Linked DNA regions of Oryctolagus cuniculus. The protein of the gene in region 3 interacts with the protein of the main gene of each other region in a pairwise test. Links are inferred from orthologs where the notes say so. Each region holds a gene or a part of one and is shown on either strand. Other genes may lie near its edges.

Region 1 (3,648 bases), on a different chromosome or scaffold from region 3:
ACCCCATCGGGAACGAGGGTGTGCGGAACCTCAAGAACGGGCTCATCAGCAACCGCAGCGTGCTGCGCCTCGGCCTGGCCTCCACCAAGCTCACGTGCGAGGGTAGGGCGCCGGGCCGGGCTGGGCCGGGCCGGGGGGCGCGGGGCCGGCCTGCCAGGCACGGGGCCCGTGGCCAGCCCCTGCGGTCCCCCTCGCAGGCGCGGTGGCGGTGGCGGAGTTCATCGCCGAGAGCCCCCGCCTCCTGAGACTGGACCTCCGGGAGAACGAGATCAAGACGGGCGGGCTCATGGCGCTGTCCTTGGCCCTCAAGGTGAACCACTCCCTGCTGCGCCTGGACCTGGACCGTGAGCCCAAGAAGGAGGCGGTGAGCGGGGCTCCTCGGGGGCCGCGGGGCGTGCGGGCGGGCGGCGGGGCCCGGAGCCCTAGCCAGGCCACTCTGCCGCAGGTCAAGAGCTTCATCGAGACCCAGAAGGCGCTGCTGGCCGAGATCCAGAACGGCTGCAAGCGCAACTTCGTGCTGGCGCGGGAGCGCGAGGAGAAGGAGCAGCGGCCGCAGCTGTCGGCCTCCATGCCCGAGATCACCGTCACCGAGCCGCCGCCGCCCGCCGCGGCGCAGAACGGGGCCCCGGGCCCCGGGCCCGGCCCGGACTCGGACTCGGATTCAGACTCTGAGGGGGAAGACGAGGAGGAAGACGGGGAGAGGGACGAGGCCGGCGGAGACCAGAGTCCCTCGACCCCCTGCCCTGCCCTGGTGCCCCCCACAGACTCCCTGGGCCCTGGGGACAGGAGCCCCCCAGGGAGCCCCTCCTCCCCCTCTGAGCAGCGCATCTCCGTGTCCAGCCCGGGCCGGGGCCACAAGGTGTTCGTGGTGACCCGGGTGGAGAGTCCTCCCGAGAGGGCCGAGCCCCCTGTGCCGCCCGCCCACCTCTCCCCACCCTCCTCCCCACCCTCCTCCCCCTCCTCCCCTGTGCTGCCGCCAGCTGAGGGCGACGGCCGCCAGGACCCAGGATCGCCTGAGCCGCAGCCGCAGCCGGAGACGCCTCAGCCAGGGCCGCCGCTGCCCAACGGCCTGAAGCCCGAGTTTGCCCTCGCACTGCCCCCAGAGCCGCCCCCGGGGCCCGAGGCCAAGGCGGGCAGCCGCAGCCTGGACCACGGTGAGGCCCGGTGCCAGCACGGCCTGTCGCTTAGAGGCCCCTTGAAGGGGCAGGGAAGGTGGGGCTTGGGGCCTGCTGCCTGCCCGCCGCCCTCCCCGGGGTGGGGGCTGTGCACCTGCTGCCCAGTCTCTGGTGGGGACAGGCGGGCCTGCGGCTGGCCCGCTGCCGCCTGACCGGAGCCCCCTGCCCGGCCTCGCCCGCAGAGCTGAGCTGCCCCGAGAGCGAGAAGGAGCTGGAACAGCTGCTTCTGGAGGCCAGTCAGGAGCCGGGGCAGGAGACACTGTGACACTTTAGGTGAGGGGCGGGGCGGGGGCGGGGCCAGGGAGGGGCGGGGCCGGGGCAGGAGACACTGACACTTTAGGTGAGGGGCGGGGCGGGGGCGGGGCCAGGGAGGGCCGGGGCCGGGGCGGGAGACACTGTGACACTTTAGGTGAGGGGCGGGGCGGGGCCAGAGTGGGGCGGGGCCGGGGCAGGAGACACTGACACTTTAGGTGAGGGGGCGGGGCCAGAGCGGGCCGGGGCAGGAGACACTTTACGTGGAGGCGGGGGCGGGGCCAGGGAGGGGCGGGGCGTGGGCAGGAGACTGACACTTTAGGTGAGGGGGCGGGGCCAGAGCGGGCCGGGGCGGGGCCGGGGCGGGAGACACTTCAGGTGAGGGGCCGGGGCCGGGCCGGGGCAGGAGACACTGTGACACTTTAGGTGAGGGGCGGGGCGGGGGCGGGGCCAGAGGGGGCCGGGGCAGGAGACACTGTGACACTTTAGGTGAGGGGCGGGGGCGGGGCGGGGCCAAAAGCGGGCCGGGGCAGGAGACACACTTTAGGTGAGGGGCGGGGCGGGGGCGGGGCAGGAGACACTGTGACACTTTAGGTGAGGCGGCGGGCCGGGGCGGGGCCGGGGCGGGCGGCTGGGCGGGCTCTGCGCTCACCGCGGCCTGGCTTCTCCCCAAGTTCCTTTCTTCCGCTCGGTCTGGGAGGAGCTGAGGCCAGAGCCGTGAGAATCTGCTCACCGTCCTCGCCGCGTTCCGGGGCCCAGGACGCCAGGGGCGGGAGCCCACGACACTACCGGCGCAGGAGCCACGGGAGGCCCCGCCCTGACTTCACTTGTATTTATGTGCCCCTCACTCTGAGACTGGACACGGCTGGGGGTGGCCGGGAGGAGGAGGACGGGAGGCGGCGCCTGCGAGGCCGTCGGGCCGCCGGGCCGGGCCCTGTGGCGGAGGGGCCTGCCCGTGGTGGTGGGTGGTCCCCGTGAGCGGGCGCAGCACCAGGCAGGAGGCGTGGCGTGGGGGCACTGAGGTTCCTACATCAGCCCCAGGCGGGGCGGGGGGCGGGGGGCTGGGAGTGGAGGACCAGAGCTTTCTTTCTTAAGTGCAATAAATCTATCAGGGAGCGGGGGCGGAGCAGCGCGCACCCGGGACCCTGCTGCCCGGGCGTGAGGGTGCCCCGGAAGCACTACAGGCGGCGGGTGGGCGGGGCTGGGGGGGCTGCCCTGGCCGCGCAGCTCTGTCCACACCTTTTCTAATAAACTGGGGCTGGGCTCACCTCGCCTGCTGTGCTGCCGCCGCCCCGGGCGCCCCGTGCGCCCCGTGGTCCCCAGAGGCCGGGTGGGCCGGAGCCGCTTCTCTTCCCCGGCTCTCGGGGTGCCGGCTGTGCCCTCAGCCCCGGGTGTCCTGTGCCTCGGTGCCGGCAGACGCGCCTCGTCCCCACCAGCCCCCGACGTTCGGATGGGAACGGGCGCGGGGCCCGCACGGCTCCCGCTCCCTGCTGCCCAGTGTGGCTGGCGCGCAGCGGGAGCGCTGAGAAGTGCCGGGAAGGCTGTAGCAATGCCAGCCCCAGTACAGCCGGCTCCCCACAGACCCGGGGCCACAGTGGAGACTCCGTCTGGGTGCAGGGCTCACGCCACGGCCACTCCGCTGCCCTGTGGCACCCGTCCCCAGCCCTGAGCGTTCTCTGATGCCGGCTGTAGCTGGCTGGGAGGTGGTGTGAACATCCCGTCTGCGCCCAGCCCCCAGGATCCCGGCAGGCCCTGGGCCAGCTGTAGCTGCGGCCTGTGGCGGAGCCCCTGGGGTGCACCCACGCCCTTGGCCCTCTGCCTACACCCCTGCACCGGGGGTGCAGGGCTCGGCCTGTTCACCTTTGTGTGTGCCTCTGGGGGCTGGATCACATTCCCCCCACACAGGGGACCAGGGTCTTCAGGGAGACGACCAGGCTAAAATGGCAGCCTTGTGGGCTGCGGGCTAGAGTGATGGGTGTCCTCTAAAGTGGGGTGGAGGCAGCCCGGCAGAGCCCCGTGGGAAGACGGGATGCAGTGGGCGTGGAGGGCCCTGGACTGCCACCCACACCCTGGGAGCTGGGGGGGGGGGGGCGAGGAAGGGCGGCCTGCGGAGTGGGCCACGGTGGGCTCTCCCTCGGAGCCCCCCAGGCTTTGGCAGTCCCAGGTGTTGGGGTCCGGGTGCTGAGGGGACCTTTCGCCCTCAGCCACTAGGGTGTCACCA
Region 2 (3,476 bases), on a different chromosome or scaffold from region 3:
TTCACCACACCACCTCCAGCTACTGACGAGAGCTTTACAGCAGTTTGTTCATAGAGGCAAAAACCAGCTGGCCACTCCAGCCCGAGGGGACCGGTTGAGTACATGATAGCATGTCATACAAGGGGGTCTTTTCAGGTGGTACAAACATTGAGGAAGGTAGGCATGAGCTGATGGGTACACTCATCCCACATATGTGAAATATAACCAGCTACAAAGATCCTATTGGGATAAGTACATAAGTAATTCAGGTATAGGAGAGGTCTTCAGAAAGTGTGCAGAAAAATGCATGCATTTCACAGATTTTTATCCTTTAATGCCTTGTTCCATGAACTGGCTGAAGCACCTTTGTCACACATTCCCCACCGCCCTAGAAATAATAGGCTGAGGGAGAGGAGTGTTTACTCTCTTACTTCCTGTGGTAAAAGTATTATTCAACTATTGGTATTTTCCTTCTGCTTCCATCTGCTAGAGTGATCTGCACGCATCCTCTGCAGCCTTCCCCCCATTAAATGCATCCTGAACACTTCCCTGAAATAGGAAAGGCGCTTCCCATTCCCGCCGTCTGCCTGCAGGAGCCCGGAAAGAAGGACCCTGCCTGGGAGGCCACCTTCCCTCGCGTGGCCTGTGTACTGTGACAGCGTTCATCTGCCAAAGAGAGGCGTGCGTGTGTGGGGCCACCGACTGGACAGGACGGCAGGAGCTGGGAAGTTCCTAGGCACCCTGACCATGTGGCCAGTCATCGGTGGCTGCTCGCCTCGTCACTGGTTCGTGAAAAGCATTGCTGCGTGTCTCCTCACTGATGGCTCTTTCGTTTGTTCTTGCATAGCGAAATCGGTTAAGGTGAAAATCAAGCTCAATAAAAAAGATGAGAAAAGCCGAGACAAAGGAAAAGGGAAGAAAAGGCCAAATCGAGGAAAAGCCAAGCCTGTCGTGAGCGACTTTGACAGCGACGAGGAGCAGGATGAGAACGTGAGTGCAGTGCTGGCATCTTGCTCCCTCTCACCTGTGGGTGACAAAGTCGATGGGCGAGATGCCATCCCTGAAGGACGGGAACACAGCGGCAGGACTTCGACCACAGATCTGGGGGCTCTGTGCATTGCTTCAGTAGTCTGCAGAAAATAAAGGGGAGAAGAGAACTCGATTTTGTAGTTTTTCATCTTAGAAATTGAGTTTTCTCCATGGCCGATTCATATTTTGTATATCACGCCTGTCGTGCTGCCTTGTATATAGTAGATGGAAGAATGAGAAAAGGTGTTGGGATGTCGGAGTTTTGGACTTGAGTTGCTCAGTAAGGTGCCATATGAAAACCCAAATGACTTTTTAAGCACCTAAGGGTTTTTTTTTTTTTTAATATTTGAAAAACCTCAGGGAGCATTGATTGAGGCCTGGAAATAGGTGCCTTCCTGTATTGGTACATATTTATCCCAGCATCGTGTGCTGCCACTCTCAAAACATGAGAGTGATTTAGCCATTTTGCTGCAGGTCATCTAGCAAGTGACCAGCAGAGCTGAAATCAGACCAAGTCTGCACAGCACAGGACAGTGGCATTTGAACCTGCCCTACCTTCCTTCTACTTTCCCTGCCAATTTTTTTTTTTCTTTCTGGGAACTCATGTCCATGTTAGTATGATGGTAAGTTTCAGAGTCATCATCTTACACCAGCCTTAACCACTGGGCACAGTTGTTTTCAAATGCATTGAAAGCCCTGTGTTTTCCTCATACCACTTACGAGTGGAGCAGACAGGAAATACATGATGTTTTTCCTTCCCATGTATCTTCCAAGGCATAGGGCTAAAAACACAGAGTACTTAGCCACAAACCTGTAAACCCAGACTGAAGGGGAGCACCCACTAGCAAAAGTGGGGGTGCGTGTGGCATTGGGATTTTAATGACAAGCCCTCTTCTTGGCCTTACTGCTGTCAGTGCCTCTTGGGTGTGCTTCTGTCTTCCTGCAGAAAGATGTGGAGCCTCCGCTGTTTCTCAAAGGCCGTTTGTTCTTTCTCTGCCTGCCCATGGCTTATTAAGGTGTCTCCTCTCGTTCCTGGGATTTTATTTCATTTCCTCTTGTTTTTCCTTCTAGGAACAGTCGGAAGCAAGCGGGACTGATGATGAATGAACAGTCTGGACCTTTTTTCCTTGGTAAAACTGACTTCCTTCCTTCCCCTCTCTGCCCAGTGAACCTACTTGTCATAGTGGCACTGGGCCCTGTCATCATCCTCATCTATAAACTAGCTTTAGGATAGTGCCAGACAAACATATGATATCATGGTGTAAAAACACACACACACAACATTTGTAACATATTGTGACCAAATGGGCCTCAAAGATTCAAAGATTAAAAACAAACCAATCTTTTGATGGAAAATATGTGGGTGGATAGTATATTTCTATGGGTGGGTCTAATTTGGTAATAGTTTGATTGTGCCTGGTTTTATCACCCGTTCAGATGAGAAGATTTTTGTCTTTTGTAGCACTGATAACCAGGAGAAGCCATTAAAAGCCACTGGTTATTTTATTTTTCATCAGGCAATTTTCCAGGTTTTTATTTGTTCGGTATTTTTTTTTACACTGTGGTACATATAAGCAACTTTAATAGGTGATAAATGTACAGTAGTCACATTTCACCTGCATAGACATTTTTCCATTTTATGCTCTATGATCTGAAAACAATGCTTTTTGAATTGTATAAGATTTATGTCTACTGTAAACATTGCTTAAATTTTTTTTTTGCTCTTGATTTCAAAAAAAGTTTTGTTGAAAACGCTATTGAATATTGCAATCTATATAGTGTACTGGATGGCTTTTTTGGTCAACCTGATCTCCTATGTTACCGATGTGTATCGTCTCCTTCTCCCTAAAGTGTACTTAATCTTTGCTTTCTTTGCACAATGTCTTTGGTTGCAAGTCATAAGCCTGAGGCAAATAAAATTCCAGTAATTTCAAAACCGTGGCGTTGGTGCTTTCCTAGTAACGAGACACCATAGCTCTCCAGTGTTGCCTGTTACTCCTGAGTCCTAAGGGAGTGACCCCCTCATGCTTGAGGGGACTGTTTCCTGAAGGGGGCCAGGGAGGCTCCTTGGAAGGGACGAGAGAGAGAGAATGAGAATTCAGGTGTGTGTGCACCACGAGGGAGGCGCCATGGGCCAGGCCACACAAAGGCACTGCTCAGCCTTTCCTCAGGCATTAAATAGGCCTAGTTCTTTCCCAGGTGCCAGCGTAGTACTGTCTGTCGGTCGCATTGCTTCAGAGCCTTCTGAAGGCACTTCCCGTTCCCATTTTACAAACAGGAATACAGCAGTGGAGACGGTGTGGGCTGAGCACACCAAAGGTGGATTCGGGAGGTAAGCTCGCTCCAGAGCCCTTTCCCACCTCCCCAGCGGTAAGGCCTGGGACAGAACTTTCGGATATGCCTCAGGTCACGTGCCAGGCACTTGCTGGCACAGTAGGCATGTAACATGTAACAAAGGCCTGGCTAAG
Region 3 (3,648 bases):
AGAAGTCCACTGATTAGAACTGTGCAGGACCAGTGATTAGGGACCTTGTAGGGCCAGCTGCACCACTCCCTCAATGTAATGCAGTAATTTTAGCAGGTGGTTCATTTGGGATCGTAAAGGTAGGGGAAGGAACTTCCAGCTAAGGGAATGAGCCTGGGAGACTGCTGGGTGATATCTAGTAACTATCTGTGTTCAAGGCATTGTAGAGCTGCTCCAGTTCAAACTGGCTGCACATTAGACTCCCTGAGGAGCTTTAAAACAATGCTGATGTATGGGCCCCTGGAAATTTTGATTCACTTAGTCTAGGGCAGAGCTGATGCAACAAAGATTTTTTTTTTTTTTAAACTCCAGAGGATTCTAATATATAGCTAACCAAGGTCAGGAATCAGTGAGCTTGACTACCGTAACAATGGTTAAAAAACTTCTCTGTGCTCTCGTGTGCTGCAAGTAGTTTGTTTCTAATTCTTACAAATTGCCTTTCAGTCTGGTGATGAAAATAGCAGGATCAAAGTATAAACATGCTTTCAGACTGATAAGAAATGACTGCGGGTACACATTTGACATCGTGGTTGGGACAGTGCCTGGGACGCCCATATCCCGTATCAGAGTGCCTGAGTTAGAGTTCCAGCTCTGCTCCAATTCCAGCTTCCTGCTAATGCTTGCCCTAGGAGGCAGCCAGTGATGTCTCCAGTGGCTGGGTCCCTGCTCCTCATGTGAGACACCCAGATGAAGTTCCAGCTCTGTCTATTGTAGATGTTGGGGAATGAGTCAGCAAATGGGAGGTTGCTCTCTGCATCTATCTATCTATCTCAGATAAATAAAAACCTTTAGTTCTCATTTAGCTTATATGTTATAGTTTTTTGTTAAAAACCAGATATATCCTGTGTTGATATTTGGTTAAACATATGAATACATGAAGACTTAAATAAGAATAATAAGAGTGTTACATGTTTACCAAGTGCAAGTATGTATTCACTTTTGAGTTCTTAGTCCTTGGGCTTTGCCTTTCATCTTTGGACATCAGACTATTTCTAGAGTTTTCTAATATGCTGGAGTTGTACGGGATTATAGTATTCCTGTTTTGCAGCTGCATAATACAGAGATCTGGAGAAGCAGCCTGATCTGAAGTCATGTAACATGGAGCTCTCAAAATAGCTGGTGTGTGCAGAGTGTTTGGAGAAGAAAGAGTTACTGGGTCAGGTTAAGCGGCTAAGTTTTTGCACGTGCTTACTGCTCCCTATTGTAGAATCATTTCGAACTGTCTCTTTAGATCAGCTTTTACCAGATGATCATCACAGCTTCATCTTTGTCAGTATTGGCACCTGTAGATTCTTAGAAACCGATCAGTTTAACTCCAAATGAAACAGATGGAGTGTTCCTGAAATGTGCTTAGCAGAAAGCACTGGTACCTGTACCTGAATTTGAGTTCGGAGCTCTCTTTTATCTTAAAATGTCATATGATTTACAAGTCATGCTCAAACGTTTTCTCTTGGCTCGTAACTCTTTGCTTCCATTGAGCCGGGTCGTGGCAGTACGTTGTAGTGATTCACAGTGTTTGGAGCAGGTTTTTTTCCTGGGTGTTCTGCTGCTTCTAGGACTTTAAGGTGCTCCAGAGCCTGCATTTGGTAACCTTTAGATGGAATGTGAGATTTATTTTGGCGTGCTTCATCCTTGAGGGAGCCTCGCTTCAGTTTTGTTTGTACATTGCATAGACAGACCAGGGATAAGTTTCCTAAGTTAGACACAAGTGCCTGTACCGTATTTTTGTTTATTGTTCACAGTTGGAACACAAAACAGACAACAACCCCCAATTTCCCTTATATGCTCCCAGCGAACTGGTGTCTCCCGCAAGAGAACTAAAAAGAAAAAAGTGCCCCCCAAGACTGTTGAACCTCTCACTGTGAAACAGAAGCCCAGCGTGTTAGAAATTGAGAAGACGATGACAGCAGTGGCCTCTGAGCAGGCGGGGCTCCAAGCCACTGAGCACACCTCCACCGGGGAGAACCGGGTCCTGGGATTCGGCATTGTTCTCGAATCGCCTGCCTCAGATGTAAGTTGATAACCTTCTGGCTGCTGACTCGAACGTGATGTAACCGCCAGGTATTTTAGTATTAATACATTCTCCCCTGGACTAGTTCTCTCAAGACAACTAGAGAAACTTGCAGAATACATGTGGAAGAGAGGAAACGAAAACTCACAATTTCCTTGTCTGGAATTGTCTTTTCTGAATATTTTATGCTGTATTTATTTAAGCATGTTTCCATTCTTTATCTTTGGAAGAAGAAGGGTGAGGGCATAAATCATCTGCTCGCTAATTTCTTTAACATTTTTAATTTCTAAGTGGCAGTTTTCAATTTCCTCAATGTGGAGAACTAAAAGCACATAATTAAATCCTTAGTAGATGGACATAAATGAACAGAACCATACAGATAAGGTCATACCTTTCTGGAAACACAAACTAATAATAAAAAAGGAGCAGTAGTACTAATTCTATTTTATAGATGCAAGCTACACTGCTAATTAGGTGGCAGTGCCATGCCATTTCCTTCGTGTAATGATAGGTTAACGCTCTGCAAAGGTTCTGCTATTTTAATATCATAGTCAGAGTGTTGTTGCAGTCCAGGATGTTGGATTACACTTGAGATAACCATCTGACTTGCCATTTTGTCTTCATAGGACCATAAATGAATTTCTTTCATTACATGCTACATTTGCAACTGCATACTCCATTGACAGTATCTTTATCTAAGTGCATTTATGTTTCAACCCCAGCTTGTTGGGAGAGTTCTTAAAATAAACAAGAAAGAGTGATCTATTATTATCAGATTGCATAGGATGAGAATCCTGCTGAGAACTCCCACAGCCTATATAGGATTAGAGTTGGGCCCTACCTTTTAGATTCAAATTAAGAAACAAATTGCTATTAAAAAAAAAAAAAGTCCTGTTTTAAATTTAGGAAGACAGCTTGCTAGCATATATCCACATTAGAACCTTAGTAAAGGGTGGTGACAAAAGTAATCATCTTGTGACCTTTTCAGACTGGAAAATCGTTTTAACTTTTATCCAAACATTGGTATTAAAGAAGTTTTTTTTTTTTTTTTTAAATCTATGAACACATTTACAACTGTTTGGATGTTTTTCAAGACTAAAATGTTAATTTAAGAAAATCATTACTGTTCTACCCTAGACCAGGCAGCTCACGTGAATATGTCACAATGTTATTGCAGCTAAGGCTCCGGTCAAACCTCGGGTGGACCATGCATTTGGAAAAAGATGGAGTATTCTGCAACACAGAATACATTCCTTCAGTCCTGAGCAGTTTTCATGATGCTTTTTTTTTTTTCCCCCTTAAATTTTCTAAGCCTTCTTTTCTGACGGGCATTGTTCTTTCAGGACAGTAATTTGAGATACATTAATCATTTCCCAAATGGGGTGCCCTGATGCTAGTAACCAGTCTTTCTCCTTTTCTTTTTTATTTTCAAGCTCAAACCATACTTCAGAGATAAATCGAAAAAGAGTTGAAAAAAAATCTTATATGTGTGTGTGTATGTCTGTGTGTGTTTGAAATAGAATACAATTTTTGTTAGCTTTATCAATATTAGTATTTTGTTTGTATATTATTTTTAAAATGTTTACTTAAGATTATTT

What was found. The genes of interacting proteins can lie anywhere in the genome.
Region 1: the proteins of BEND7 (region 3) and PPP1R37 interact in binary tests that used the Homo sapiens proteins (3 or more experiments, as listed by UniProt). The two-hybrid records come from large-scale screens. The link is inferred for Oryctolagus cuniculus from reciprocal best matches to the Homo sapiens genes BEND7 and PPP1R37.
Region 2: the proteins of BEND7 (region 3) and SMARCA2 interact in binary tests that used the Homo sapiens proteins (3 or more experiments, as listed by UniProt). The two-hybrid records come from large-scale screens. The link is inferred for Oryctolagus cuniculus from reciprocal best matches to the Homo sapiens genes BEND7 and SMARCA2.

The regions. Positions count from the first base shown.
Region 1 is NC_091449.1:11,608,948-11,612,595, reverse strand, and holds part of PPP1R37 (protein phosphatase 1 regulatory subunit 37), read left to right. Parts: coding exon 1-102; intron 103-197; coding exon 198-364; intron 365-445; coding exon 446-1,154; intron 1,155-1,357; coding exon 1,358-1,440; 3' UTR 1,441-1,448; intron 1,449-2,101; 3' UTR 2,102-3,648. UniProt on the Homo sapiens protein: Inhibits phosphatase activity of protein phosphatase 1 (PP1) complexes.
Region 2 is NC_091432.1:164,360,201-164,363,676, forward strand, and holds the end of SMARCA2 (probable global transcription activator SNF2L2), read left to right. Parts: intron 1-826; coding exon 827-969; intron 970-1,003; exon of another isoform or gene 1,004-1,109; intron 1,110-2,079; coding exon 2,080-2,115; 3' UTR 2,116-2,944; downstream 2,945-3,476. UniProt on the Homo sapiens protein: ATPase involved in transcriptional activation and repression of select genes by chromatin remodeling (alteration of DNA-nucleosome topology).
Region 3 is NC_091444.1:69,190,563-69,194,210, forward strand, and holds part of BEND7 (BEN domain-containing protein 7), read left to right. Parts: intron 1-1,781; coding exon 1,782-2,050; intron 2,051-3,648.